2 linked regions of the Lepisosteus oculatus genome follow. The protein of the gene in region 2 purifies or fractionates together with the protein of the main gene of each other region. This does not show direct contact. Links are inferred from orthologs where the notes say so. Each region holds a gene or a part of one and is shown on either strand. Other genes may lie near its edges. The genes, in order: tent5c and fndc3a.

What was found.
Region 1: the proteins of fndc3a (region 2) and tent5c purify together in Homo sapiens (affinity purification with western blotting; 3 studies listed by BioGRID, with this or other methods). This does not show direct contact. The link is inferred for Lepisosteus oculatus from reciprocal best matches to the Homo sapiens genes FNDC3A and TENT5C.

Annotation. Positions count from the first base shown.
Region 1 is NC_090710.1:32,321,920-32,336,944, forward strand, and holds tent5c (terminal nucleotidyltransferase 5C), read right to left. Parts: upstream 7,092-15,025; 5' UTR 7,073-7,091; exon of another isoform or gene 7,008-7,072; intron 6,972-7,007; exon of another isoform or gene 6,865-6,971; intron 5,683-6,864; 5' UTR 5,660-5,682; coding exon 4,502-5,659; 3' UTR 4,296-4,501; downstream 1-4,295. UniProt on the Homo sapiens protein: Catalyzes the transfer of one adenosine molecule from an ATP to an mRNA poly(A) tail bearing a 3'-OH terminal group and enhances mRNA stability and gene expression.
Region 2 is NC_090700.1:20,296,364-20,312,140, forward strand, and holds the start of fndc3a (fibronectin type-III domain-containing protein 3A), read right to left. Parts: upstream 5,832-15,777; 5' UTR 5,252-5,831; intron 99-5,251; exon of another isoform or gene 1-98. UniProt on the Homo sapiens protein: Mediates spermatid-Sertoli adhesion during spermatogenesis.

The sequences.
Region 1 (15,025 bases), on a different chromosome or scaffold from region 2:
CCCATTACACTCTTCTCTGTTCAAGACCAAACACGTCCCACAGTTCTTCCGTGCAGGACATACCTTTAGGTCTTGGCAATGGACTGTAGCTGGTTGCTCTGCTCTGGCCCGATTCCACAGCAGTAACATGGGGATGAGGATTGTACAGGATTACAGCCAGCTAATAAGATTACAGTCTCGGGGACTGCAATCTTATTAACCCATTTCAGTTTTAACAGCATCCTGTAACTGACATTCTAGATTTTTAGCCCTAATGACCAAAAAGATGTTCATGCAGACATTCTTCCATTTGTAGCCTCTACAAGCTCAGACCCTTCCCATTCGTACTTGTTTTTGGGATCTGCTTATAGACATTAAAAGCCATCTACTAGGTACTTGCTCACTCTTGGAAGTCTGAATCTTTTAATTATTTTAATTTGTTCCTTGCATCATTTTTTGCTAACTGTCCTTCCTTAGTATTGTCTGCAACCATAAGTCAACATTAGTGATACTAGGAAGAGCAAGGCTTCTTATATTTCTATGCATTAGATTACTAACCCAGCTTGAATATTTTCCCTGATCTGTACCATCTTTCCCTCTCTCAATCTCTGAAAGACTACCATAACGCAAATTCAAAAAGACCTAAAAACCAAATTTGAGCAAAACACCATGGTGGTGATATTTAATGGAGAAGTGCAGAGTGCTACACGCAGGTAGCAGAAAAAAAGATTGCAAAGAAAGCCTGAATCCACATTTAACTGACAAACACCCAAGCTCTTTATCTTCACACCTGTGGGGAAGCAAACATGGATATTGACAAGGGTTGAAATGGAAAGCAATCAATTTTTACCTTGTAACCATCACATCATTTATGCATTCCTCCTGTACAACATACTGTACATGTAATTCAATTCCACAAAATCTGAAAACAAAAGGAGCATTATAGTAAAATAGTTCAGCCCCAACCTCTGTCTATAACAATAAGCCAATAAAGAAGATTAGGGGTTCAACAGTTTATTTTTTTCCATCTTTACACATTGTCAAAGGAAAACAGTGAGGTAAAAGTGCAAAAATTACAGGATTATACATAGTCATGATGCTGGTGATAACATTTTGGAATTCAAATGATGTTTTATTACCCCCTCTTCACACTTTCACTATGACCAAAATTCTTGCAAAGAGTACAAGCGTTGAACGACTCCTTCCCAGACGAGACTATACTGAAGTCTATCAAGTACAAACCCAGGACAAGCCAAGGAGTAACACTACCTGGAAAGTCAAGGAGAAGCAAATCTTATGAATTTAACTGAATGCACCTTCAACAAGAACAAATGCCAAAAGGCAAAAAGCTAAAAAAAAATCCCCACCCACTTCTATAAACTGTCTGTCACATCCTGTTATGTGAAAAATGAATTGTAAATTTAGGTCAATAAAAAAAAAAGACCTCTGCAATACTTTGTAATTGTCATTTGTTTAAAGGACAAAAGGAGTAAATTCCAAACACCCCCCCCCCCACTCTAAAAATGATCTACTCAAGTACATGAAATGTTTAAGGTGCACCGTTTGTGCTTCAAGTGAAATCCAATGACTCCCAGCAAAATCGACCCCACACAACTCCCACCACAGCCTGGAACCCAGTATACCCCACCTCATGGAAGAAGCAGATAAGGCCACGACACCGAGCCATGACACAGGCAGGGGAGAAGGCCAGCAGCAGATGCTGCAGGAGGAGAAAGAAATCCCAAAAAAAACTCAATTCACAAATACTTTATTAGTCACAGAAGATGAAGAGGGTCACGGCCTACACATGACCACAATAATCCCCCCCCCACCCCAAGACCCCCCAGTCCCATATTAAAACATTCAATAGCTTATCTGAACAATGTTTAAAGACTTTAAATTACTTAATTGCATCTATTGCGGGATTGAAAAAGTGTCCATTATGGCACAGTTTTGGAGACCCATGAAAGAGTACCGCATCCACTATTCTCTATAGTATGGCTTGAATTGCACAGTATGATTTAAACTGGGATACAAATTTGCATTTAAAGATAGTGGTCAAACAGCACTTCCGATAAGGATGCACACTGCAGAAGATCTGACCTTTTTGTTCTTGTCTGCTTCTAGTAAAATGCCGAGAATGTTTCAGTGGACTGGTCTTTAAAAAAATCAGTTTTTATTTCTGGAAAGTAACGAGGGGGAAAATAAGCATGCTGCTGGAATGGTTATACCTTCAACACGCTCGGAGAAACCGGGGGGTTGTAAAATAGTTGCTGCGACACAAGTCTCCTCACTCAGCTAGTAAGTCCCAGCCATAACCAGGAAACAGTCAACAGACCAAAAGCAAAGAAAAACACCGCTTTAAATAACACTTAATTCACAAATTCCTTAACAAGGACCATGACTTCCCCCAAGCAGCTATGACTGTGTAGCTATATAAAAAAAAAATCCAGCCTACTCATACGAAAACTGCATTACCACTCATACACATTCTGAAATTAACTTACACCCCCCAAAGACAAAAAAAAAAGGGAAAAAGAGCTAGGCACTTCTGTACTTTTTTTTTTACGAATTCATAGAATATGCCATTTGGTCCCCTTTCTTATATCCCAACATAACATGCAAAAAGAAAAAAGGTTCACTCCAATAAAGTTCGCTCCCCACCACAGCCCCCCCAGAGCCTCACAAACATCGCTGCAATGCAAGTACAATACGCCCTGACCCAGAACCATACCCCACTGCTGCAGGAGACTACAGTGACCCTGCAACCAGCTATCTTTTTCATAAAGGGCAGGTCAACAACCCTATGTTTAGGGCAGATAAGAGGGAATACAGTTATCTCTCCATGGCACATCTGAGCATAATACAAGCCACTGAAGTTCAGAGCTAAGTGCCAAGAGGCCATGGAAGAAAAGGGGAAAAAAACTGAACAAAAAGTTACGTAAGCAAACCGCCGGACGTCTGTGAAGCGAGCCGAGTTCCTTCTCCAAGGCAGGAGCTGGTGATGAAGCACGCCTGTACAGAAAGGCGGCTGGGGCTCCCGACTGCTCAAAGAGAAGCCTGCCCTCAGCCAAAGCACAGGCAGAGCTTGCTTCTGTGCAGGAGGCACAGGCCCTTGTTGCTCCAGAAGTCATTTCCCTCACCTTCTTGGCCAAATTGCAGAATGGATCAGAGGCAAACCCTGAAAATGTGGTTTCTACACCGGCAAGACATTTGTCAGTGTTAACACGATATATAAGGTGGCCACAAAGAGTGCCCTGACTGCACACTTCCAGAGATAATTATAGCCTGCTGACACGTTCATTGGCTGCTGCCTGCAGACCTGGATCCCATTTTAGTACAAAGCAGCATGAAGGCACACCAGCTATTCAATACCCAAGCAGACCCTTTTAAGGCAAGGGAAGAACGTCAGGGGCCGAGAAAGATCCAATTACCAGCACTCTGCAAGGACACGATATTCCAGGTTCCAAACCGCAGCACAGTGACCCAAACCCACAACCACCAGCTCTCCTGCAGGGCTGACTACCTGCAGCAAGCCATCCGTCAGATGTATCAATACGCTTCCTCTCTCCCAGAAAGACACAGCACGCACACCTCGCAAGGCGGTAAGCAAAACTTAAAAAGGAAAAAATTTACAAAACCACAAAACAGCACCCCGAAAAGAGAACAGGATAGCAGGCGACAGCCAGAGCACCTCTTCTCTTCCCGAGGGCCGACGGGCAGATTTTTGGAACGTTCCACTGTAACGGAAAGAAGGAAAAGTGGAGGGAAAAAACCCTTTAAGTTGAAGCTTAAATTGAGCTTCCCCCCTGCCCCCACCAACACCAATCTGCTAAGCACTGCCCCTGCCCCGTGCACCCGCACCTCTGCAAGGCCGGAGGGGGCGCCCGTCGAGCGGAGGAAGACGGGACCAGTCAAGTCGCTCTTCTTGCTAAAGCAGTTTGCTTATGACCCGGGAGGACAGGAGGCACCTTCAGTTCCACAGTTACATCTCACAAGAACACAACCTCACTCACACAAACAAGGCATTAAATACTTCTTGTGCAATAGCTGCATATTTATGTGCATTAACCCCTCTTTTTTTTGGTTTCCAATTTTATGTTTTTTTTTTTTGGTTTTTAAGCCTTTCCAGTACACAGGAATAATCCCAATTTAACCCCCCTTTTTTTTTTTTAAGAAAGGCTCATTACATTTTTCAACAGATCACATACATTTTATACTTTTGGGGGGAAAAAAAGGCACTCTTTTTAGACAAGAAATTGTCCTCGCATCTGGACAGAACTGTTGCCACTCGCATTAAGGCAATGTCACGGTCCTAGACTTGAACAGGATTTATTGAGAAACAAAAGTACGACAAACGCCACGATGGGGCCCAAGAGTCTGGAACCATCTCTGCAGCAAAGAAGGAAAGAGAGAGAGAGAGAAGGAGCATTGTGTCCCGTGTTGCATCTGCAGTTCACAACCGATGAGGGGAGCTTTTATTTTATTCCTGGTCCCCTCATCTCAAATCAGTTCTGCTCCTTCAGTTGCACGGCAGCCAGGTGGGATAAGACTGGCTGCAGGAAGCAACATAGTAGTTGCTGAAGTTCAGGTCCCGGACGTAGGGGGCTGGCTGGTAGTAGCAGGTGACACTGGACGCATCCGGGATGGCATTCTGCTCGGCCAGCACCCGGAAGGCCAGGAGGGAGATCAAGTTCAGGGTCTGCCGCCGCTCGTGGCCCATCAGGCACACGGTGCTCTCGTTCACCACCCTGCGCAGGATCATGAGGTAGTCGTACTTGCTCTTCTCCTCGCCCACGAAGTGGCTCTGGAGGTAGGACTCCAGCTTCCGCTGCTGCTCCACGATGTCGGAGAAGTCGATGAAGAAGCGGGAGCACATGTAGCGCTCCAGGGCCTTGAACCTCTCCTCGTCGGTGGGCCTGAAGTCCCGGACGAGCAGGTTGCAGTACTTCAGCAGCCCGCCCCCCCGGATCTCCTCGGGGTTCTTGGTGGCGATCAGTTTGTTCTTCAGGTGCTCCAGGGCCACCGCGAAGTCGCCGTACACGCTCTCCCCGATGACCGTGGGGTGGAAGTGCTTGGACATGGGGTTCTCGGCGCAGTCGTAGTAGAAGAGCAGGGAGTCCAGGACGATCTGGAAGGAGTCCACGCTGAACTCGAACTGCCGGCGGATCGAGTCGACGAACTTCAGCTCCACGTTCCTGCCGTTGTTGTTGGACAGCGAGATCAAGCTCCAGCGGTCCAGGTCGGTGCACACCTTCACCAGCTTCTGCACGTAGGCCTCCTTGAGGGTGGTGGGGGTGATCTTCTCTTTGTTCACGCCCTCGGGCAGGAAGTCCAGCAGCGTGCCCAGAACCACCTCCTTGACGAGCTGGAACTCGGCCTCGCTGGGCAGGTCCACCCTGAAGATGACGTCCAGGTCCTTGTAGAGCCAGCCGTTGTCCTGGACCAGCACGTGGCTGGCGGTGGAGCCGTTCAAGCGAACGTCCCGGACGCGGATCCCCTTCTCCTCCAGGCGGCTCCGCACCATCTGGACGATGTCCTTGAGCCGCACCTCCAGGGTGGGGAAGTTGCCCCTGCCGTGGACAGGCACGGCCTCGGTCATGACTTCGTCCAGGAGGCGCACCTGCTCCCAGGTGAGCACGCTGGAGCACCTGCTCTGGTTGCTCCCGGCTTCGGCCATGCTCAGCTGTGTCTAAATCTCAACTGCCGGGAGGGGAGGAAAAAAAAAAGGATTAATGTATGACTACAGCAGCAGAAGAGAAATCCATTACGACATTAAAGAGAGCGCATCCCGCACGCTTAACGGTTGTATACCGACGCAGCAACACCGAGCGAATTGAATCATTGTGACTTCACGATGACTCAACAATATGACCTTTACCCAAAGCAAACAGCCCGTTCATTTGTGTCCTGCCCCCTTTGCCTCGCATGCAGCACACAAGGCAGGTTTTCCAGCTCTGCCCCTGGGCGACTTGCCCGACAGCCGGGCAGCTCACGGTTTGCGGCTCCAGAAGACAAACTTGACAAGAGTCGCGCATCGCCGTCCCACACAGCAGCCAAGTCGGGATCATTCAACCAACCCTGCTGTCGTCCTATACAACTCGGGGCATTTATCTCCTATTAACTACCGACCTTTTAAAACAGCTGGAATCGCCGCGGGAGGAGGAGGGGGGGGAAGACTCGAGTTGCTTTAAATTTTAATTTAGCGATCCGCAACTTCAGATAACTTGACTAAACCACATCCACGGCTCAAAGACGCGCTCGGAGAGCAGGAAAAAGGACGATCTAGTCCGATTTAATGACCACGCATTAAGAAACTCACTTCTATTTTTGTAACCGGAATAAAAGAGACGTGGGGTGCTCGGCATTTTTTAAAAGCCGACCGCACTGCGTGATGTCACTCGACATTTTAATTCTAGGTTTCGCATAACTTCAATTTTGTTTAGAGATCGGGCGAAGCAAAATTACGTGCGTGCGACCGATCAGGCTGGATATTGAGTTCCAGGAGTGTGCATAGTTTTTTTTTCCGGATTTAAAAATAATTAACGTGCGTCTATTACGAGGCGTCTGCAGAAACTTCAGCCAACGCAGATCACACGTGTAGTACAGCTACCACATACGGAAACCGCTAGGTCTCACAAAGTTAGCAAAACACTCTATACCGCCAAAAAACCCAACCCAAACACACGGTTTTAAAGCAAAAGATTTTAACAGACAAGAAGCAAAAGCTCTTTCCCCTCCGTCCTAAAAGTAAGCTCTCAAGTTTAAACACCCACCACCAGATGTGCACTTTAAAAAAAAACTCTTACCCCGGACGTGCACTTTTATTAAACACCTTGAACAAACCAAGGCATCCAAACCAGCGGGATACAGAAGTATACTTACTGCGCAGACAGGTTCCGATCAACACTTGTAAATGACACGCAGGAGAGAAACAGCTCTAATACAGACACTCAAGCCACATCCACAACCTGCAACCCCACTGCTGCGCTGTGAGCACCGGGCCCACGGAGCGCTCTCTTATACGCCGAATCACTACCGCCGGGAAGGACGCGTATTCCTCCACTGCGGGGCACTATTTTGTTACTCGTACCTGTATCAATGGAGAGCAAACAACAAGAAAACAACCTCGGGGGATATGTACGCCCTATTTCAACCACGGCGAAAACACGACGTTGGGGGGAGGGGGGAGAAGACGACTTCACCGGGCGGGGGTTTATAACATTTTTTCATCCCCGACCGCAGGACAGTTATCTGGAGAGGCATCACTCCGCGGCGCAGCGTCCCCCGATTGGTCGCCACGCTTTGTGCGTTGCCAGGCGACGGGAAGCGCCCGCTGGATTCAAACGCGAAGCCGGTGCGCTCAGGGCAGGCCGCTCAGTCTGGGGGCTGAGGGCGACGGCGATGGACGATTATTAGTTGGGAGCGTGTGTTGCGCGTAGTACGCTGTTTCAAAACATCCAATTATATTAAACAATTACAGTATACGAAGGACAGCCAAAAACCTGCTCAATTAGCCGCAATTAGACATCTATATATACGCTCCTGTGCCTGATGGTTACACTGTAACTCCGTGATACACTAAACTACTTCACATCCATCTTGCACTACTTTCCCCTTGATTTATTGTGTGGTACGACACGACCAGTGCCGGCGCAACCCATACCTGGGCCCGGGTGCAAGTACAGTAAATACAAAAGCCCCCCTTCTCCCTCCACCAGTGCACACAGAGCAAGAGAGCAGGGTTCAAACGGGCCACCACATTGAACTTGATACTTAGTAACTAGTTATTTAAAAAGTGAATATAGCTTATAGCTTGACTCGTCGCAGCGAACTCGTCGATGATATCGCTGAAATCCACCTGCCGTGCGGCGCGGTTCTCTACAGACAGCAACGCCGGAGCTGACAGTCTGTCCTGAGACATGCTGGACCTGAGGTAAGGTTTGATCAGTTTCAGTTTGCTAATTCAGCCCTGGCGACAGCAACTGGAATGGTTCAAAACACTTGACATGCTATCACTGTGTCTGGAAACGTAATGGTCTTTTCTGTTCTTTGCGCTTCTCGCTGCCCGATTTACTGTACATTTCTGGCTCGCTTTCACGTTGCACACAGACGAACTCCAGTTTAGCTAGATGTAAGCTCGTCTGTTGCTCAGTCTTGACAACATTCGCAACAGCGGAGCTTTGATTAATGTTTTGAGGTGACGTTTCCGATCAGGTTTCACAAAATCTAGGCTAAACGGTAAGCCTATCCGACCCTTAGTCCTGCTGCTTCCCCTGCTGATGGGAAGCTTGTAAAAGCAAGTGGAATTAACTCTTAAGGTTTCAATGCGGGGAAATTAAACATCAAAATAAGGGCCGAACCTTTCGGTTATAAGATAACTCGAGCAGACGGTTCCTGGCTGCTTTAGTTACACCAGAAAGTCAGTGTTTTGTGGGATAAAAAGGGCTTGAGATACTGACTGGACCCTATACACCGTAGGTTATACACCGGTTATACCGAATCTGTAACATAGCCTACTGTTATTGCGTTGATCACTAATGTGTTTATGATGAGATGTGTTTTTGATGTGATGAATTTTCCATATGTTCTCAACTACAGTTTGCAAAGCTCCGCCCTCTCGGTTCTTGTTCTGAGTTATTAATTTATGATTTATCTACTTTTACTGGGATTTCAAAGCTTTACAGTATGTGTAAGTGTATCGAAGCATCTGGTAAATTAAACTGTAAATGTCCCAATAATTTAAGTTGACACGAATTGAAAAATAAAAACAAGTTCATAGAAGACAGCTAGCCGTACCAGCGCCCAGCTATGCAGTTTAAAAGCATGATCCTCTTTGAACTGAAATATACCGCTCGAGAAAAGAGGCTTCAAGGAAACCATAGAAAAACATCTGTATTTCTGAACATCTATCCATCCAGCCATTATCAGTAAAGGACTATGACAATGCATAGAAACACGAAAACTTCACCAACAAGACACCGCGCTCTTGCAGTTGCGAGTAGATCTCAGAACCGAATCCAGCAGTTTCCAGAAAGATCCTGGGAAAGTGACTGCAGTAAAGAGGGCTTTCTCTGGACACCCTCTATGATTAGTGCAAAGAAGAGCTTCCTGCTCTTAGTTCTGAATGCACTTGCTTGCAACTTCTATTTCTGACCTTGGGACCATCTTTCATTGCCAAATCATGAGTAGGTGAATCGCTGGGGCTGTGTCAGTGTCTTTCAGGATTTCAAATACGCCTCTCCCCACTTCGTCCTAATCAGCTCTGATTATGTTGAAGGGGTCCTGTTTCTTGAAGTGTTTTTGTTGACTTTTTCTTTCAAAAAGATCCAGGATACTGATGTCATTTTTTAAAAGAGATTACCAGTATTACAAACCATATTCTAAGGTCTCACTAGCTTTGCTTCCATTGATTTAAATTCAACACTTTTCACTCCGTTCTGCATTCTACCGGCTTTATTGATCACATTACTCCTGTCCTGGAGTCCCTGCAATGGCTTCCTGTCAAATTCTGTGTGGATTTCAAAATCCTCATGCTCACCTATAAGGCTCTGCATGGCTTGGCACCTCAGTACCTGTCTGAACTATTATCACCCTACTCCCCACCTCACAGCCTTCTCTCTTCTAATTCTGCTCTCCTCTCTGTCCCCCAAGCCCGTCTACATTGTATGGGTGACAGGGCCTTCTCCTTCTGCGCCCCCAAGCTCTGGAACTCTCTCCCCAAGGATATCAGAGAGTCACCTTCTCTAAACTCCTTCAAATCCAGACTCAAAACCTTCTTCTTCAGAAGAGCCTTTACTGAACTGGTTCAAGTTTTTACCCCTCTTCTCCTACTATACTTAATACCACCATCCACGGCCTCCTCTGTGTATCGTAATTGTGTTTTATCTTGTGTGTTCTTTTTTTTGTTCTTGTTGTCATTCTGTAAAGTGCTTTGACTAGCCACCTTTACAGGTGCTATATAAAATAATGTTTATTTTTATTGCTATTCTCTATTCTTTCAAAGAGGAAAATGAAGAGTCATTTTTTTTTGCTGATGACACATTATAAACTCAGTCCTTTTCACAGATACATCCACTTGACATGTTTATAATGCAGATTCTTACTGCCTGCCTATAATATTTTGCAGTCATCTAAACATCACCTGAAAACATCACGGGTCTAGTAAGTATGCCAAAGGCAAGCTCATTGATTTTAGTCCAAGAAAAGCAGCAATCTTCTAGAACAAGCAGGAAGTGTGCATGTCCTGACACTCCACCAATTGCTATGCTGCTGTCTCCTCTTATGGAAGTGCAAAGGTCTCTCCTCCGGCTCTTCTCTGAGTGCCAGCTGAGTGAAAGAAGAGTCTTGCCTTGGCAGAAACTCTCTCATAGCTGGTGAGTCATTCTGGACTTTTCTCTGCCCTGTTTTATTGCTATCAGTCTTAACCAACAGATCAAATGATCAAAAGACTTCCAGGCCTAAATATGGTGAGATTTCTTGAGACTTAAATGAGTAGCCCCGCTTTTCAATCTGCTTCAGTTCTAGGACTCTGCTTTTTAGTTTGACACAATGGAAGAAGAGTTTTCTCTTTGCTTCATCGGTGCTTATTGCTTACTCAACAAATAAGTTTATTTGTAGCAAAGTCACCCAAATGTGTCATAGATCTAACAGTGGGCCAAAACATTGATAACAATGGGGTGTCGTCTTCATTGAGAGACAGAAACGGACAACATAATGCAATTTAAGAGCAGCTTAAAAACAGTGCTGCAGCTTGTTTTTTGTAACTTGCTTCTCGGAAAGAGTTCCAAGAGTTCAAGCCCAGAATATAAACAGGTTTAAAAATTGAATGTAATCTTTATTGCTTTATTTAACTACAGTAGATATGTCTATTGAGGATAAATTCCTATTTACAATAATGACCCAGTAAAGGTATACAGCAGGATGATATTTGCTGGAACAAACTGGAGCCAACTACATGTACAGGGGTACAAAGCAATATTCCACCCTACATCTGAGTACTCAGCCTTCGAGGTGTGACTCAGTACCCCTAACTAATGCTCCACCTGCAATAATAGGATATACAGTGGGATTCATTATATATTCTAAATTGTCCTCATTCCTCATTTCAAGGCTTATTACCTTATTTTCAGCTTTTATGACTCAGATGGATTTGTAGCAATAATCACGATTTCCTAAACAGAAGTGAGGAAAAGTGTGGCTTTTTAAAAAAAAAACTGCGGTTTGTGCAGTAAAAGGGTATCCGCCATAGACAGAATGCTTCAGTCAACAGTAAGAAACTGAGAGAAAACAGAATTCCTCTGGTCCTAAGTCACCACCCGTCATAAGAAACATACTGAAAAAAATGTAAACTTCTACAGAAAGACCCCTGCACTGAATTTTAAAACAAGAACAAGAATTTTATGTACAGTAGATGTGAACACAGACATAAAAGAATACTTTGACAGCAGTAGAATTTTTAAAAGCCACTTTTCCAAGCAACACATCAACCTTTGCAGAGAAATCAGGGGCCTTAACTCACCAGTTTCCATTCGCTAACCCTTTATCTGCATTTCTAAAGGAGTAGTTTACGGAATTTCCATTGAAAGAAGTGGAGAAAGCTAAAGATGATTAACGGGCCATTTAGTGGAACATCTACTGAGCATTCAAATTAATACCACAACATTTCCAGTCGCTCGTCACTTCAGTCAAACCTTGGAGGTAATCACCCTGCTGAAGAGATCCCTGTCTGTGGAGTAAGTCAGTGTTATGGAACAAATGCTTCATGCAAACAAAAAGGAGCGAAAATTGATCTTCACTCCAGAGACTTTGGAACCTCTTGGAATAAATGTTCTGTTCTGACATCATCATAACGTGATGCACAGATGTTGTAAAACCAGGAAGTTAACTGCAATGTGGTTTCCTATCGGCTGAAGAGGACTTTTGTCCAAAATGTCCTGAAACAAGACACTTTTTTTATTTAGTCATTTGAGCACCACAATTGTTCACCCTACTTTAATTTGATGAATACAGATATATTTGATGTCTTTATGCTTCTCTACATTGGGAAATTTAACAAATCTATTTTTTTGCTACTGTATGTACTTAAAGTAGTAGCATGCATGTAAGAGGCCAAATGGAAAGGTGATATTTATCCTTTAGTTCTCGAAATCTTGATGGAAACTGGTGTTTTAGAAGTTCTTTGGCAGCACTCAGTCAGCATGGACTCTTCAGGTCTGGGTGATATCCAGTGCAGCTGTGGGGGACATTACAGTACATCCCATCTAACTGCTGGGAAACCATTTAAACTCTTCCATGACACAAAACAAAATTATTTAGAAAGCAGCTGAGCCTTAGAACAGCGGTTTCTTCAGAAATCACACTTTCACAAGAATTATTATTTCTAAAGAAAGGAAGACAACAAAAAATCACTTTCAGAAATAAAACTCTGCTGAATGTGGTTTTCCCCTTCAAAAGATAATAGAGAAAATTAAGTTTCTGTTACGCAAACTCTTCTCTACTCGGTTCCTCATAAGCTTCAGTACAGTCTCACTTTCTGATTTGGGAGTGCTCAGTACTGAAGCACTTCGGGGACGATGGAAGTTCTCAGCTTCTTGACCTCAGTCATGCCACCTTGTCTCTCCTGGCGCAGAGGGACATACAGGACACAATGTCTGTGCATCCCACATGAGATGAGTCAACAGAAAATGAAAAACTGCAACTGTGAAGGGTGGGAAATGTTTCAGATTGATTTTGTTTTAAGCCTGATTGTGGTGTAGCCTCAAGCAACCAATGTGCAGTTATCATCCATGAGCACAGGCTGACGACGTACCGCGTTTGGGTCCCAGTTAAGAAGAATTCTGATAAAGATCTTGCTGCTAAAAGCACAGGAACTTTAGTTTTCAGGCATGGCTATCAGCAGTGGGGAGGCGTGACAACCACTGGACATCACAAAACCGCCACAAACAACGGTATCAGGTAGCAGAGGTGCCATTGGATGTCAAGTTTAGGTAGTTTGGTCAAATTCTAGTTACTGTGAGATGACATGACCGATATAATGACATAAAGTATGGTAATCAATATTTTGATAGATTGATGTTGACACCCACCCCTGTGCAGTGTAGCAGCGATATGAGTGCTGGTCATCTGCTTTGTTACTAGTTTCTCTCATGCTCATACTTGAGTTTTGAGCCTAAAAGCCTAAAAGACACTTTATTCTTACATCCGATAAAGCCCGTTCTTATCATCCATTCAGCATATCAAAATTCTCCAAATTAACTCACGCAGGAGCAGACTGGAGACCTATTTCTGCATCAAAATACACCCTTTGCTTTTTTCAAATCCTGGGTGCTGTCTGTCTTCTCCATTAAGACTGTCAGTCTCCTGTCTCTGAGCACCATTGAACCACAGCCGATATTCTTCTTTAAAATCTAGACTCAGGTTACATTTTACACAGATGGCAAGGCAGCCTGTCTAAATATTTATTTTATTCTGAATTATATTTCAGTTATTCTACATGATCCAATCTTACTTGAAAGTGTAGAATTACTTAGATACAGATGCCCATTAAGAAGAGCTTGACCTCTGTAACCCTCCTGGTGGTTTCATTGACCTTTACTTGCTGCTGCTGGCAAAAAGTCAAATACTGGCAAAAGTCAAAAAGCACAAAAGCACTGATCTGCTGTAGTGGTATTGTGTATAAAAAGCAGTCCCTCTTATTCAGGTGGTGAGCTGCGTCAGCATGTGTAGTCTGCAAAGGAAAAAGTAATAGGTTTATTCTCTCTTCTCTTTTCAGCATGGAATAAACCTTTGACTTGTTCCTTTGCAGCCTATGCATGCTGACGCACCCACCCACCTGAACTAACTCAAACAAATTTAAGATCATTTCATAAGGTTCTGCTGGTTTATCTTCTGTCTCTTTAAGTAGCAGCCCTCAGATATTTATTTCGAGATTTGTGTTTGTGCTTCTAGGCTGGTGTTCTACACTAGAATTGTCCAGCGAACAGCAGCACAGTGAAAATGAACATTCCTGCCCTGCCAGCCTGTTAGAATAATAATAACGAATAAACGAATGACTAATGAATATTAGTCAAATTAATCAACCAAAGTAGATGTACAGTAAAAGTTGAATCAGATCGGTTTGACTGCTTATGTTGATAAAACCAAATGAAACCTAAGGGAAAAATGAAATGTCATGATTTATTGGTCTGCTTCTTGAACATGTACAATTCCATTTCCTGTACTGGCAGTTTTGTGGAACAATTAACTGCGAAGTCAAAGGGCTATATCAAACAGACCTTTTAAAATGATATTAATGCTGCTTTTTTTAAACGATTTCAGTTGGCTGATATTTATGATTCTACCATGAAGTAGTCCGGGGGTCACAGACCATGAGACACCTCAGAGGACATGTGAGTCAAGCCCAGCTGTGCCGAATATTCAACTGGAGAGACAGCGACTTAGGAGAAGGGATGTGCTGGTTTATAGGGCACTTTGACCAGAGATAAAAGGAATCAGATTAATTAAGTCTATTGCTCCTTCTCTACTGTAAATGCTTCTTTTTCATGCCTATATGAGCTGTTTGTTTGCTTTATGTTTCTGTAGCGGAGCCAGTTCGGACACGGTGACGTCATCGCCCTCCCTGCGCGCGGCAGGGACCTCAGCCGTCCGAGCTGGGGGGGTCTCCTTCAGCTCACTCGGCTGGCTCCCTGTTGCGTTACGCCGGAGACCTGGGTTCGCGCCCAGGTGTTGTGGCGAGGGCACGAGCCCGTGCAGAACCGAGACGGTCACATTAGAGATGTAAAACAAGAAGTACGAAGTAATGAAATGTCATATTACAGGTGGATTAAATGTCCAGTTTGAAAGAATGTGCTTTCCTGTCCAGCGTACACTCTTAGATTCAGAAAGACGTCCCAGGTACAGCCCCAATGAAAGCTAAACTCTAAGGCACACAGACCCAGCTTAAGCTGTGGGTCAAAGTTTTCTCGGATCCCGTCATGAAACTTACCTTCAACTTTTAAACTCGTGTGAAGTTGAAGCTTGTAAAGTTTCTTGCTCAAACTTTTCC
Region 2 (15,777 bases):
GAGGAAAAGCTTATCCACCTGATAATGATCACTGAAACCCAGAAGGTATCATAGATGAAGCCTCTGGCAGGGTTCTTCAAATGCGGAGTTTTGTTTTTCTGTTGTGGCAGAAAAGACAGAAAATGATGGCAGTGCGCTGTGGCATGCTGATCAAGCCCTGATGCTGAAACTGTAGAGAAAAAATTAGAGCTTACAGAGGCAAACAGTCCAGTGGCAATCTCTGCCAATGGAAAACCTGGGGAAAACCTGGGGAAACCCAGCCAGTGGTGCCCAGCTTTTTTTGGTGAAAATAGTAAAAATGACAGCAGGTTTGCACCCAGCCATCAAAGATTTGCCGATTTCAAATCGGCGGCAAATGAAACACACAAAGACATAGACGCAATGCAAACTGAATGCCCTGTTGACAAAGCACGACACGACACGCATTTCAAAATCGCAAGGGTGTCGCTGACTTGGAAAAGGAAGCAACACAAAGCAAGAATGTGGATTCAACACTTTACATAGTTAACGCAGAGAAAGGTTTACAAAGCCAAATTGGGCACAGTCAATTGAAGCAACGTTAAAATTACACAATACAGAACACGACCACATTCAAAACAGGAGTGTGATATGGGCTATCTCTGGACAAGGAAGTCTTTGTAGGGGAGGGTGTTACAGAGTATTGCAAGGACGTTTTAGCTTCAAAGGTTTGACAGGTTAGTCCTGAAGAGAGGCGATAACAATAAGGAAATGCTATTTAAAATTCAAAACAATGCCTAATTATGGATATACACCATCTTAGCAATACGGACAATAACTACATTGTCCACTTTCTGCTTGTGTTCATTTGTGATTGATCAAAACACTAAATTATTAATTCTGTACCTTCAGTATCTCCCATGCCCTGTTCTACTTGACTTATTAGTGTCCTTTCTGATATGTTGGATAATATGCTGACAATGCTTCCATACACAGCCTGCTCTAACACCACATAAGAAGAAGCCCTTAGAGGCAGTTCCAGGCTTCATTCTAATTAATTTTTGGACAAATACGTTTTTGCATCGGGCATGGAAAAGTTGAAACGAGTAGAAAAACGTCAGTGTTTTTGAACCCCTGAGGATTATTCAAGAGGTTGTCCCACCACATATACCAATGCTCCTGAATAACAGACTATAGTGTCTCCAAACATTTCTCAAAATCTCTTTAACGCATCAGAGGCTCAAGGGGTTGGGAGAGATTGATAAATAGGTCCAAGCTAAATACTGCAACTTTTGGATTTAAAATTGAACATTTTTGGTAAAGGAAGCCTTACTGTCCTGTCACTTTATTTTCCATTCCAAGTGTTCGCCCTCTCTTTACGTGATCCCACAAACTTTATTTTTTCTCTTTAACCCAGTGAGAGCTGACGCAGATCGTCCTGTCATCCTGAGTCTCACATTGTTTTGTTTTTTACAATTATTTCTTACAGATGTTTAGCCACTGATTTTTTTTTTTAAGTTTAAAATATCTAGTCCTACATATTTTACTTTTGCATCACAAAATGACCTGGTTTTATCAACAGGAAACTAAGGTGCTCATTAACCTGTAACTGGAGTTCCCCAAGAGTTACAGGACAAAGACAGTTGTGATTATCCAGTATTCTTGTGATCAGATTTGGTTAAAACAGGGCAGGTTGAAGTCTTACCTCCTAATAGTAAAGTTAATAGTAAATATTCCCAAAGGAATGAAATGATAAATCCGGCAGACTTCTTAAAATCAAACTGTGAAACACGAACCAGAAGACACAAACAGAAATGATGTGGAAGCACATTTCTAACCGAGAACAGGAGGTACTTTTTCACAAAGGTTGTGGGAGTATGGAATAGCCCAGCCATGTTATTGAGGCTGATACACTAGATTCTTCTCAGGAAGGGCTAGATGAGGTTCTCAAATTAATGAGCTACTAACAACCAAACAGCCTCCTCCTGTTTGTAAATATTATGCATTTACTGGGTAAAATGTTTTCTTCCTAAAAAAACACATGAAATATCAATGTCAAAACAGCATGAAATAACACATAGCAACACAGAAGAGTACAGGATATTAACATGACTCTTAGAGCATCATAACCACAGGATAGGCTACAGACATTTTTGACAGACAATAAAAAAACAGTATTAGTTGTAAGCAAATTTCTAAGCTAGGAGGAATACGAATGTATATCCAGTTTCCTTCTATCTAAGCATCTTAAGTTACTAAATCCCATTACCCACAGGGTTTAAATGTTTATGATTATTTGCAGATCACGTATAAATGAAAAAATATATCCTGTCTCAGTGTCCCAAGAGAACTACTGTACTGGGTCATGTTGTTACCCCAATACAGGACATGGAAGGTGTAGAGTTACACTAGGTTTTCACACGGTATACTAAATACTATATTCTCCTGCTCAGGGGACCTGCACTACAGTTCTCCAGGCCTATAAAGTCCTTCTGTTTTCTATGTCAATGGTTACTAATACTGACTCTGAAGGCTCACACAACCGCTGGTTTTTATCCTCTCGGTTACACAGTTCAACCCCATATGGTTTAATGAAAGGATAAATTCAAACTGTTAGAATGTTTTCAGCTCTTAAACACGTTGAAAGTGAGATTTTAACTTTTAACTGGATTTTATGAATAAAGTAAATTCCCACACTACTGAGTAGAAAAAAAACTGAAAATGTTCCACCTAAGCAACTCATTCGTTCTATTTAGGCTTCAATGAGGTAATTAAAGTCAGCTGACCCCAAAACTAGAAGGTTTATGAGCCTCCAGGACCGAGACTGGGAACACCTATCTGAAGACAGAAGTGACAGTGGACCCTCACAATCAAGAAATACCTTGATGAGATTCTTTAAGGGTGGCATAGTGGCACAGTGGTGGGCATTGCTGCTTCACAGTACTGGAGCCCTGGGCTCAATTTTTGGAGAATTATCTATGTGGAATTTGTATTTATGTTCTCCCTGCATTTGCATGAGTTTCCTTTGGGTGTTCTGGTTTCCTCAAAAGGCTTACGGGCAGGCTACTTGGCTCCTGGAAAATGTGGCCCCCTTGTGAGTGAGTGCGTGCAACATCAGGATGTGAGTAAGCTAATCTAATACAGGGTCATGGGGAGCTGCAGCCTAACCTGGCAAGAAATGGGCACACGGCAGGATATACCCTGGATGGGACACCAGTCCTGAGAAAACCCAGTTGCAAACACACACACACCATTACCAATTTTCCCAGAAACCACTTATCCTACCAGTATGTCTTTAGACTTTGGAAGGAAAACAGAGCACCCAGAGGAAACCAAACATGGGGAGAACATACAAACTCCACGCAGGTAACTCTCCAAGAATTGAACCCAGGGTGCCAGCGCTGCGAGGCAGCAATGCTCCCCACTGCACGGCTCATTTTGTTTCTTAAAAGTAGGTATAGATCAAAAAGGTCTTCATTTTGAGTCGAGGTCCTGCATGCAAAAAAAAAAAACTTCCTGAAATTAACCAGATTTGATCATGGTTCCAAGTTATCAAATTATCTGTTCTACAGCACCCACCTTCTCACACTTCCCATCTCGCAAGGGTATGCAGGTTAGTGTGGACTTGTGTACCTGTTTGCTCATATATGTCCATGGCAGCATGCCTGTTTGTGCCTATTTGCACATGTGTGTGTGTGCGTGTGGGTGCACGCCTTGCAAATGATGTCCCATCCAAGGTCTCAGCTTGCATCCTTGCTTCTGGGTTAGGCTCCATGGTGTCACAACAGTTCCCAGGAATAAGTAACAGTCCTGATATTAACTGTGAGCACATACACAAAGCAATCAGACCACAAAAGCAGAGGTTAATTCAGCAACGGCACCAGTAAAAGACAAAGGTAGTGCTCAACATGCACTCTTCGTGGAAGGAGGGAACAGGAACAGTGGGGTAGCCCAAAAAAAGTAGTACAAAACATCAGATACTTGCACCATCTCAAAGCTTTGTTAAAAATATTGCATTCCATTCCGGTCCCTGTGTTACATAACAGATAATGAAGTGCTCCAACTAGTTAAAGAAATGGTGAGCAGGTCAGGCTGATTCCTGGGTGTATGGAACAAGCCATCGAGCCATATCATTCTATCCATATGCTACAAGCAAGCACAAAAGCCATTTTATTTTGTTTCTGCACTCTTAATAGAACCGGTCAAAGTACAAGCACAAATGGACATTTCTTCCACAGCTGATTGACGGTTCCAGTCAAAGTCCAGGAGGTAGGAAACCTTATCCAGGCCTCAGACATACACTTCTGTCCCTGCTGTTTCTGGAAGGGGGGAGTCTTGCAGCACACACACACCTTTTTACATCCCTCTCAATGTCTCAACTGACCACCAGCTTGTTGCAAAAAAAAAAAACACAGCTTAGTTACGGTCAACAGTCATAAAGATTACAGCCTTCTGCCATTCCTACAACTGCAAGCACATAAAACAACTGCAGCATTGCTGTGCATTTTCTAAAAAAGGAGTCCTTACCCTTGTTCTGTGGACCAGCTCTCAGTTCTACAGCAGAGCCTTAACCTGCCCCAACCCCCAACAATAGGTTTAATTTGGAGTCTTTAATTAAGCTACAAAACCTCTTTTTAGCAATGTGGTTCATAGATAACCTGAGATCTACAGCTTTTGAGCAAGAAAAGAACATGAAAAAGTTCCAATCAAGCCACTTGTTAGTTGAATTAATGGCTTCAGTCAAAATGTGAAACCATGAACTCAAACAACTTTTCAATTATTATTAGTAGATACTTGGTACTTGTTTGTCTTCCTATAATATGATATATTTTATCATCTACATTAGTAGATGGTTTTGCAATATATTGAAAACGCTTTTATTAAACTGACTCATTTGTGAATTCCGCCTTGAACAAAAAGGTACTTTCCTAGGATTTTACTATAAATCTAAGCTTTCGAGCACTTAAAAGAGGAAAACAATACCTATGCAGTACCCTGAAATTCCGGCCAGTTGCGACTAGAACAACTCTAGTATGATTTTGTGGGATTTTAGAAAAACTTCATTTTCTCCCTAAGTCAGTTCCTCAGAAACTGCTGTGTATTGTGACGTAAACACAGGGCCTGTTTGCAAAGCCAGAGCTGCTCTAGCGCTCAGCACGCAGACGGAACATTAGTCATGTCGCAGCGAAAAGGAAACCACCGATCGCAAGCAAACAGTCCTGGTGCAGTTTCTTACGTTTGCAGATGAAAGAGCTGTCTTAGAACAGTTTGTTGTGACGAAGACGTTACTCACCAGAACTGGCAGCTCGTCGGAAGCTGTAATTTACCCAAAGCGGCACAGACCAGCTGCTGCTGCTGTAGAGATAGGAATCCCCCTCCTCAGCTAGAGCGCAGCTGCGGCCGAGTCAGAAGACGCTCCGATACTCGGGCAGCGTAACGTGTCCGTTTTCACCTGTTTATCTACACACAGTACGCGCCTACTCTAAGCTAAGGGTGCAGATCATATTTCCTCCTGTCCCGGTGCGCATCCAAGATCTCTGGGATCCTTATCACACTGGAAATGCGCCATCTTTATGAGGAATGTACACAAACCCAGCGCATGCGCGTTTTTGGAGGGGGTCGAGCTATTTTCCCGTAAAGTCTGCACATCTATTGGAAAAAAGTTCAAGGTTCCTTATGATCACGGTTTCCAGAAACTAACTTCTGACCACACGCACACATAACAGTACAGAATGCTAGTGCCGCCCCCCAGAGTTCATTTATGTACAAGGTACCAGAAGAAAAACTATTTTACTCAAATAGAAAGCACCAGATGGGTGCTTTCTATGGCTAAATTATTCCCGAATCAGAAGCGCCTTTCTCACAATGGCACTGTCCGACAGGATGCAGCTTTTGTGAAACTGTCCTACAGCCAGTCCTACGTTATAATAATGACTATGATGACTGGCTAAATTGTGTGACGTCTCCACATTGCTGTCTTTCTTAGAACAAGAGCACATCACCTGCCAACAGATCAGCAAATTAGATGTATTATTTGATAACAAATGTTCATCAGCAGTTTAAATCTATTTAAATAGGTTCAATGTAATGTCTGTATAGTCTGCTTCTATAAAATTAATTTTTCTTTCCAACTTTGTGAATTTGTGAAGGTAATTACATTTTTAAAAGTTTTTTCTTTTATTATTCTTGTATAATGTGTCTATTTTTAGATCCTGTAAGAACATCTGTTATAAGAAATATAATGTTGTATATGTGTATTTTGCATATGTTGTACTATATTGTCATTTGTTTTGAACTATTTGACATCATTAGGCCATTAGCCCTGGAACCATTTACACTCAATTTAGTTCCTTTAATACCATTTTTTAACAAATGGTTAAAAATGGTATTTAACCATTTTTAACCTTCACACCTGAAGAAGGCTCCACGGCCGAAACGTTGTGTTTTCTTTCTTCTCTTTTCAGCATGGAATAAACCTATTACTTGTTCCTTTGCAGCCTACGCATACTGACACAGCTACCCACCTGAATTATTTTAACAAATGCTCTTTTTTGAAGTTTATACAAATTCTATTACATTTATGTGCCATTTTTGTACCTATATCTCTCATTATCCTGGTACACACTGTAGGCAAACCATTAAGAAAGTCCACAGTCAAACGTCTAGTCCCTGTCAGTCACTCTAAGTCACAGTCTGGCTTGACTAGACTTTCATGTGTTGTAGGTTCAAAAATTGGATCTTATACAATTTTTTTTTGTATTATGGAATTATTACTATTATTGTACAACACAAAACAATATAGATAAAATTCATTTAATGTATTTAAGTTTAATGGAGACCGATGCATAGTTTTGCATGCAGTACTGTAGTAAAAGTATAAACCATAAATATAGAATGGGAAAAGTAGCACTAGAACACGCTAGTAACAAAAAGTTATGTTACCATGTACTGTACACATCGTAGACCAGGTGGGGAAGCAATTAAAAAGGTCAACAAAATGCTAGGATATATAGTTAAAAGCATAGAATTTGAGTCAATGGATATTGTATAACACTCTAGTAAGGCCAGGTTTAGAATATTGTGCACAATCTTGGTGACCTGCTCACGTCATTATAGAAAAGAAGAGTCACAAAATACTCCCCAGGGAATATCCCACACTGACAGACTAAAGAAACTGAACTTTTTTACTCTTTAAAAACATCTCCTTTTTAGTGGTAAAATACCATTGAACCCTGTGGATTTGTTCATTTTGAGTACCTTCCTGTACCTGAAAACAAATTCCCTCTAATATGCTGATACTTTGTAATACAGTTTTTTTTCTTTCTGCTATCTGAGGTATATTGTTAACTTCTTACTTTGTAAACACCTGATTGAAATACTCTTTTCTTTTTAATTGTCTAGAAGTTTACTTTTTTTGTCCATACTACATTTTACTTGATACTTGACTGTTCTTTTGCCATTGTAGTATCTATATAACATTTTATTTATTTTAACCTCCATTGCAATATTCCTTTCAATTTCTCTTTTGGCCTTTTTAATATCCATTTTTACCTGTGCTTGCAATTCATTTTTCTCTTTTTAACTGGATCCTGCTGTTTTTCATTTTTTTTTATAAAGCATTGTTTTTCCCCTTATTATTTCAAATTGATTTGCTGAACCAGTTAGGATACTGTTTTTTAGCTTTTGCTTTGCATGTTATGGGGATAAATTTGTTATGTGTTTGGGTAGAAGCTGTTGGCATCCACTGATTTCATATCTGTTCCATCCCTCATCCCTGTTCCATCTTTGTCAGGATTTCTGAAAGGGGTGAGTTGTTGGACCCCTATGTGAAGCCATGAGGAATGTAGTATGAGCAAAAGTAAATTCTATATTCGAAATCCAAGTCATTAGGCAAGAGTGAAGTCAAAAGTAGGAGAACCAGGTCGGGTAGTAAAAGGAGTCAGGTCGAGAATAGAAGCGCGCACAAGAGAAAGCTGTGGAAGACTTCTCAATATTGAGCGTAGGTAAGCCGGAGAAGAGTGTTTAAATATTGAAGAGAGAGAGACATGGTTGGATAATTAGTTCCTGGATGAGCGTGTGTGGAATTTACCACGCGTGGGAATGCCAGGGAGCTTAAGGGAGAATGAACGAGTCGTGACAATCTTCTTTCTTTCTTTCTTTTTTTAGGCTCAACCTGTGCAGTTTCAAAATATACTTCAAAGCATCTCATTTCCTTAATGGTTTCTTAATTGTAACCTCCTGTTGCCTCTCTGTTTTGATTGTTGGGGTCTTCAACGAAGTGTCCCAGACCATACAACTTTAGGCCAGACAATACTATGATGTCAATCACTGACAATATGATGTCAATCACTGACACTCCACCTACACTGCTTTGGTACCAGTTATGTCTGAGCAACCTTGTGTTTGAAGATATCTGCATTGTTCCACATGTAAGCATTTGAAATCCTTTTGAATCAGTAGCTGTTCACCTCATCAGGCACCAAAGTCTCAATTCTAGACTGCCATCAGATGCAAAAGAGAGCGAGAGATTTTCTTCTCTGAGACCTAAAGTCTCTTTGAGTTGTTGCTCAAATACCAGGGCCAGGTGAGTATCTTGCCAAGGTCTACTCCAGTAAGACCACTCTGGAGAAGAAACAACACCACTCTCAATCAAGACATTGGGTTCCATTGCCAAAGCCATGTTTGCTGTATGTGAAGATGATAAGGACTATAACTAGTTAGTAGCATTCCAACAATAAGCTTGAACTTCCCACCAGAAAAGTGACACTTCACGACCCAGTAGCTTCCATTGTCAAGGTCTAGTCCACTGTGACACATCTCTCTCTTTGACTTTACTGTCATCAGCCATATAATCCTGCAGCAGGTGTGAGCCTACAGTAAGTCAGTACCTGGATGGGAGACCTCCTGGGAAAAACTAAGGTTGCTTCTGGAAGAGGTGTTAGTGGGGCCAGCAGGGAGCGCTCACCCTGCGGTCTATGTTGGTCCTAATGCCCCAGTATAGTGACAGGGACACTATACTGCAAAAAGACGCCGTGTTTCAGATGAGATATAAAACCGAGGTATTGACTCTCCGATGTTCACTGACAAAAATATGACCTACCTTTTTTGCTAAAATACAGGAATGACAAATCATTCATAAGCAGAATATAATACCTCTGGAGAAGTCAAAATATTTTAAATTCCAATACTTCACTAAGTTTAAAAAAAACAAGAACAGTACTATACATTCCTATGGATCACACTGCAAAGCCTGTTCTCTACCATTAGTATGAAATCCTTTGGTTGATTGGACCATTTTGTTTCAAAACTACATGGAGAAAATGGCCTTTTAGCTATGCATTCTGCATTTTCAATTTTATGCAGTTTGAAGCTCATTCAGAACTAATCTTCAGAGCTTGCATCTCACACATAATAAAAAAAATGTATTTTATATAGCACCTTTAAAGGTGTCTTCTCAATACAGAATGACAACAACTACAAAAAATACACAAGATATGCACTATGAAAATACACAATGAGAGGAGACAGTGTAAATAACAGAATCAGTAAAGGCCTTTCAAAATAAGAACATTTTGATTGTGGATTTGAAAAAGTTTAGGGAAGGTCACTCACTGATATCTCTTTAGGAATAGAGGTGCAGAGCTTTGGAGCATAACAGGAGAAGGCCTTGTCACCCATAGAGTGTAGAAGGGCTTGGGGGACAGACAGGAGACCAGAATTAGAAGAGCAAAGGTTGCAAGGTAGGGGGAGTAGGACTATAGTAGCTCTAACAGGTACCGAGGTGCCAAGCCATGCAGAGCCTTATAAGTGAGCATGAGAATTTTGAAATTGACACGGAACCTGACAGGAAGCCAGTGCAAAGACTCCAGGATAGGAGTAATGTGATCACTTGCACTAGACCTGGTCAGGATTCTGATTGACGAATTTTTGACATATTGGAGTTTGTTCAATGTGGATTTAGTAACCCCGAAAAAGAGCATTATACTGCAGTAGTAAATTTTGGGAGAAGAGAAATGTGTTGATCGGCTTTCATCAACAGTTGGTGATAACATAGGATGTAGTCTGGCGATATTTCTGAGGTGAAATAATTATGTTTTGATAATATGTTGCACATGTGGGTTGAATGTCAAGCCTGAATTAAATATCACCCCCAAGTTTTTCAATTTAGACAGAAGTTCAAGTACAGTGCCATTCACTGATAGGGTTACAACATTGACTTTATAAAGTTGATGGGGAGTGTCAATAAGCATGACTTCAGTTTTTGACACAGTTTAGATGAAGGAAGTTTAAAGTCATCCATGTTTTTATGTCAGAGATGCGATTAGAGAGAATAGAGATGGTCACATCAATGTCAGGTTTGGTATGGATGTACATTTGAGTATCATCAGCATAGAAGTGATAGTTGAGGCCATGTGATCTTAAAAGTAAGATAAAAGTGATCAATAAGTAAGATAGTGTGGGTAACAGTGTTTAAAGCAGCACTTAGATCAAGAAGAATGAGGATAGAAAAAGAATCAGAGTAATAAGCTATTAAAAGATCGCTAGTGACTTTGACCAGGGCAGTTTCTGTACTGTAAAGTTCTTGGAAACCAGACTGGAGGAGTTCAAAGAGGTTGTTTGCAATGAGACGGTTATTTAACTGAATTTTAACAGCATGTTCTAGAATATTTGCAAGAAATGGTAAGTTGAAGATGGGGTGAAAATTGCTTAGATTTTCCTGAGCCATGTTCGGCATTAATGACACAGGGGTAATGGCATCAGTTTTGAGGACCATTGGTACAACACCCGTGCTCAAGGATTCATTTATTATATTGAGGACAATGGGACAGACAGAGGTGGAACAGGATTGAAATAAAGCGGTGGGAATGGGATCTAATAGGCAGGTGGTGGATTTCATATGCGAGTCAAGAAGAGAGAAGTTTGGAGAGAAGGGAAGCAGTAAAGTTAGGCAAGCAGGGAGGAGGTGTGGATGTGATATGCGTTGTGGAGAAAATGTGATGCCGGATGTTTTCGATCTTGGTGCTAAAGAAATCTAAAAATGTGTGGAAGGAATATGTTTTTAAGCGTAATGGTATGTGCTAGAAGCATACAATCAAACATCCATCCATACATCAATTTGCTAGTTGTTTTTTTTTTAATACAGGGTCACAGGGGAGCTGGTGCCTATTCCAGCAGGCAACAGGCACAAGGCAGGATACACCAGTCCCAGGACTGGTCATAGACAGATGCAAACACACACCAGGATTGATGTTCCCAGGAGCCAACTAAACTACCAGTATGTTTTTGGACTGTGGGAGGAAACTGGAACACCCAGAGAAAATTCCCTTTGGGATCAATAAAGTCTTATCTTATCTTATCTTAAAACCCACTTGAACAAGGGGAGAACATACAAACTCGACACAGATAGCACCCTAGTGAGACTGAAATGCTAACCACTACGCTATCGTGCCACCCACAATCAAACATATAAAATATATATGTGAAGGGAGAGAGCTTTCAAATTTTATTTCTGGATAATCTGTGCTGGAAGGACAGCCTGTCTGTTCTTTGTAATTAATGGGCCTGAGAGCTGTGAGCAGAGAGAAAGGGTTTCTGCGTCACAGAAAAGCAGCATTAATTGTACCTGTATTTTCTCTAAGGAACTCTGACTCATTAACACGAACAGTGGCGCTGTAGAACTTGAATGAGTCACACATGACTAATGGGTAAATGAAAAGGAATCAGGGGAAAGGGGGTGTTTAATTTTCCTGCCAACAGCTGTTATTTCTTGCCTTTTCCAATCAAGACTGACAGTATCATATTACTATTTTATATAGAATGGATGACCTTAAACTCTTTAAAGCAGGCAGTGCTTTTGAATATTGGACTTGAAGGGACACAGTCCAGCAGGTTTTATAATCCTCTTTAAATCTTCAAAATGCAATGAGCTGGGAAAGGTCCAGTTTAGTCAATTATAGCATAATTGTTGGAAATCTGTATTTAAGAACAGAGCTGCAACGAAAACCTGCAGACACAGTGGCATTCTTGAGCCAGGACTGGAGTCCTCTAATGTAATGATACATTATCTTTTGGAAATTACAAATACCAAAAAAGGAAATGCAGAGCCTGAAGAGGTTACTTTAAAAAAAAAACATAGGTGTTTATGTAGGCATATCATTGTCATCTTTTAGATACTTTAGGGAAGCAATTTAAGAGGTGTGCAGATAGCATGGAATAAACCTTTTACTTGTTCTTTTGCAGCCTACGCATGCCGATGCAGCTAACTACTTGAACTACACATTTGGATAGATAGCTAAAAGCATAGAATTTAAATCATGCAAAGCTAAAATTACACATTGAAATAAAATGGCATGATGCACTCCTGTGAGCTCAGACAATTTTTGTTACCCTGATATAATCACTACTGCTCTGGAATGTCCTTCACTGACAGCTGAAAGAACCTGTTTAATCTTGACAAAGAAGACTAAGAGGGGACTTGATTCATGTATTCATGAATAATTTAAATTAAATCAGTTGAAATCTCTCCAGAGATCTCTTTGACATTCATTTTTTCCAGTACTGATGGAACCAAAGTAAGGAGCTGAAGTCATCATTCCAAAAAATAATTTAATTCAAAACCACCAGTCATATCTATATGTTCTTGGAAAACAATATGAGCTCCTTAGTCCATCTTAACTCTACTGATGGGGCAAAGTGATTCACCAGGATGCCTACTGTGCCAAGGGCGAGAGAGACTGGAGCACATCCTCAGCTGTTGCCCAAAAGCCCCTGGAGAAGGCCGCTATTGATGGCACCACAACCAGGTGCTTAAGGCCTTAGTAGACACTATAAGCAGAGGCATCACATCAGTAAACATCACCACACAGCAATTCAGACCATTGCTTTCATCAGAATCGGTCAGCAGCCACAACCACAGCCCAGAGAATCAGCGGGTCTCCTGGCAAGACTTTGGCAGCTGAAGGTTGACCTAGGGAGGAAGCTTATGTTCCTTGGCTGTAACAACCACACTTAGGCAAGACACAGTATTTCTGTCCAAGGCATCTAAGCAGGTGGTCATGCTAGAGCTTATGGTTCCCTGGGAAGACTGGATGGAGGAGACCTATGAAAGGAAGAGAGCCAAGTATGAAGATCTGGTTAAACAGTGCCATGGGAAGAGGTGGAGAGCATGGTGCGAGCCCATCAAGGGTTGCTGCAGAGGATTTGCCGGTCAATACCTCTGTAGAGCTTACAGCCTTTTGGATATAACATAGGTGAGCAAGAGGAAGGCCATCAAAACCACCACAGAGGCTGCAGAAAGAGCCTCAAGATGACCATGGATCAAGAGGAGTGATCTGTGGGTGACGATACCATCTGGAAATAAGCAGTACTTGATCAACCTTGACTGGGTCACCTAGGTGAAGATGTCTGATGTTGAAAGATCTAAAACATCAAGTGACCCTCGGTTACATCACTGATGATGTGTCTAGGTGCATCAGAAGATTTATTTCTTCAACTAAAAGTTGTATTACTTTGCACAGATCTTTAATTCCATCAGCTGCTACTCCAGCCTGCTGCTTATTTCAACCAGTCTCCTACCATTTTAACCCATGATCCCTTTCTCACTGAATTCAGACTACTAGATGCAAACAACTTTTGACCTTGATTTAAATTCACATATTTGCAAAAAGTACTTGCTGCTACCTGCTGCTTTCAGAAATATTAGCCAAAATAGCATTCATGTTTTTCCATTATGTTGCAAGCTGTTTCAGCAGTGCCCTGCCAACTCTTTCTTATTGCTGCTGTTTGAATGTTAAACCTGCTGATTGAAATCAGTTATAGCGTAGCATTACTAACTCCAGCTAGATTTGCTTGAGTGACAATGCTGCAAACCCTGACCAACATTTTAAAAGCCTTACTGCTGCCCCAGATTTGATTGCTGGCGATTCAGATGCTGAACGTCTTCAATAAACCTGTACGCTCTGAAATCCAGGGTATCAGATTAGGCAGATTGTGCCTTTTTGTATTGAAATTCATACAGTATATGGTTATTTATATATTGTTCTGAATATTGAAACCTGAAGAGGTTTTGTTTCCATTTCTGCAGTGCTTCCTTGCACTAAACCACTGTGATTACAAAAATATTACAAAAATTACAAAATTTACTTGAATAACAAAAATAACTTGAACAAAATGCCCAGCCATGAAGGATCTTGCCACTCAATCAACTATGTATGCTGTTCATCACGGCCATTCCTTCAGCTTCCTAAAATATTCTTAAAATCTGTCCTAATCCTGTTTCTTTGTCTGCTACTCATATATCTCCACTTTAATAATACATATAGGTCCAACTTCTAAATTTACAACATATTAGCTCTTACTCCTGGGCCTGGCCCCTGTTATTGGTACAGATGTCCTGTCGAGACTGCAGGCACCTGCTCTTCAATCCTATATGTTCTGGCTGGTGTCCGTTTGGATCAGTGCATTTCACACCCATTACCTGTGTGTCTCAATTATGTCTTGATTGCATTTATAATAATAATAAACTTTATTTTATATAGTGCCTTTAAAGGTGGCATCTCAAAGCCCTTTACAGAATGACAACAGAAACAACAACAATTAAAAATAAACAATAAAAAATACACAAGATAAACACGATGAGAATATGCAGAGGAGACAGTAGATGGTGGTACTACATACAGTAGGAACAGAGGGGTAAAGAATGGAACGAGTAAAGTAAAGGCTCTTCTAAAGAAGAACATTTTGAGTCTGGATTTGAAGAAGTTTAGAGAAGGTGACTCTCTGATATCCTTGAGGAGAGAGTTCCAGAGCTTTGGGGCATAACAGGAGAAGGTCCTGTCATCCACAGAGTGTAGAATGTAAATGGGCTTGGGGGACAGTTAGGAGACCAGAATTAGATGAGCGAAGGTTGTGAGATGGGGAGTAGGGTGATAATAGTTCAGACAGGTACTGAGGTGCCAAGCCATGCAGAGCCTTATAGGTGAGCATGAGGATTTTGATGTTGATACGAAACTTGACAGGAAGCCAGTGCAAGGATTCCAGGATAGGAGAAATGTGATCACTTGCAGTAGACCTGGTCAGGATTCTGGCTGCCGAATTTTGGACATACTAGAGTTTGTTCAATGTGGATTTAGATACCCCAGTGAGTAGAGCATTACAATAGTCAATTTGGGAGAAGACAAATGTGTTGATGAGCTTTTCAGCCGCCAGTTAGTGATAACATAAGGCATAGTCTAGCGATGTTTTAAGGCCTTGTCTCCCTTGGCAGATGGTACCGTACTTGAGATTCAGTCTAAATTGAAAAACCTTGGGGTCGACTGTTAAGCCTGAATCAAATATCACCCCAAGGTTTTTCAATTTAGATTGAATCTCAAGTATGGTACCATCCACAGATAGGACTGGCTTTTAGTTGATGGGGGTGCCAATAAGAATGACTTGTCACAATTAAGATGAAGGAAATTTTGAGTCATCCAAGTTTTTATGTCAGATGCAAGTAGATAGAATAGACACAGTCACATCAGTGTCAGGTTTGGTATGGATGTATATGTATATAGAAATGATAGTTGAGGCCATGTGATCTTAAAAGCTGACCAGGTGGAAACATGTAAATGCTGAAAAGTAGGGAACCCAGTAGCGAGCCCTGAGGAACACCAGACTTAACTAAACCAATTTCAGACCTAAATCTGCCAAGGGAGACAAAGTGACAGCGATCAGTGAAGTAGGACTTGAACCATTTGAGAGCTAAGATAAAGCAGGACAGAACAGAATGTGCAAATTTAGGCTGATCAATTGATCGCCAGTTGTGGAAATTCACGGAGTGTG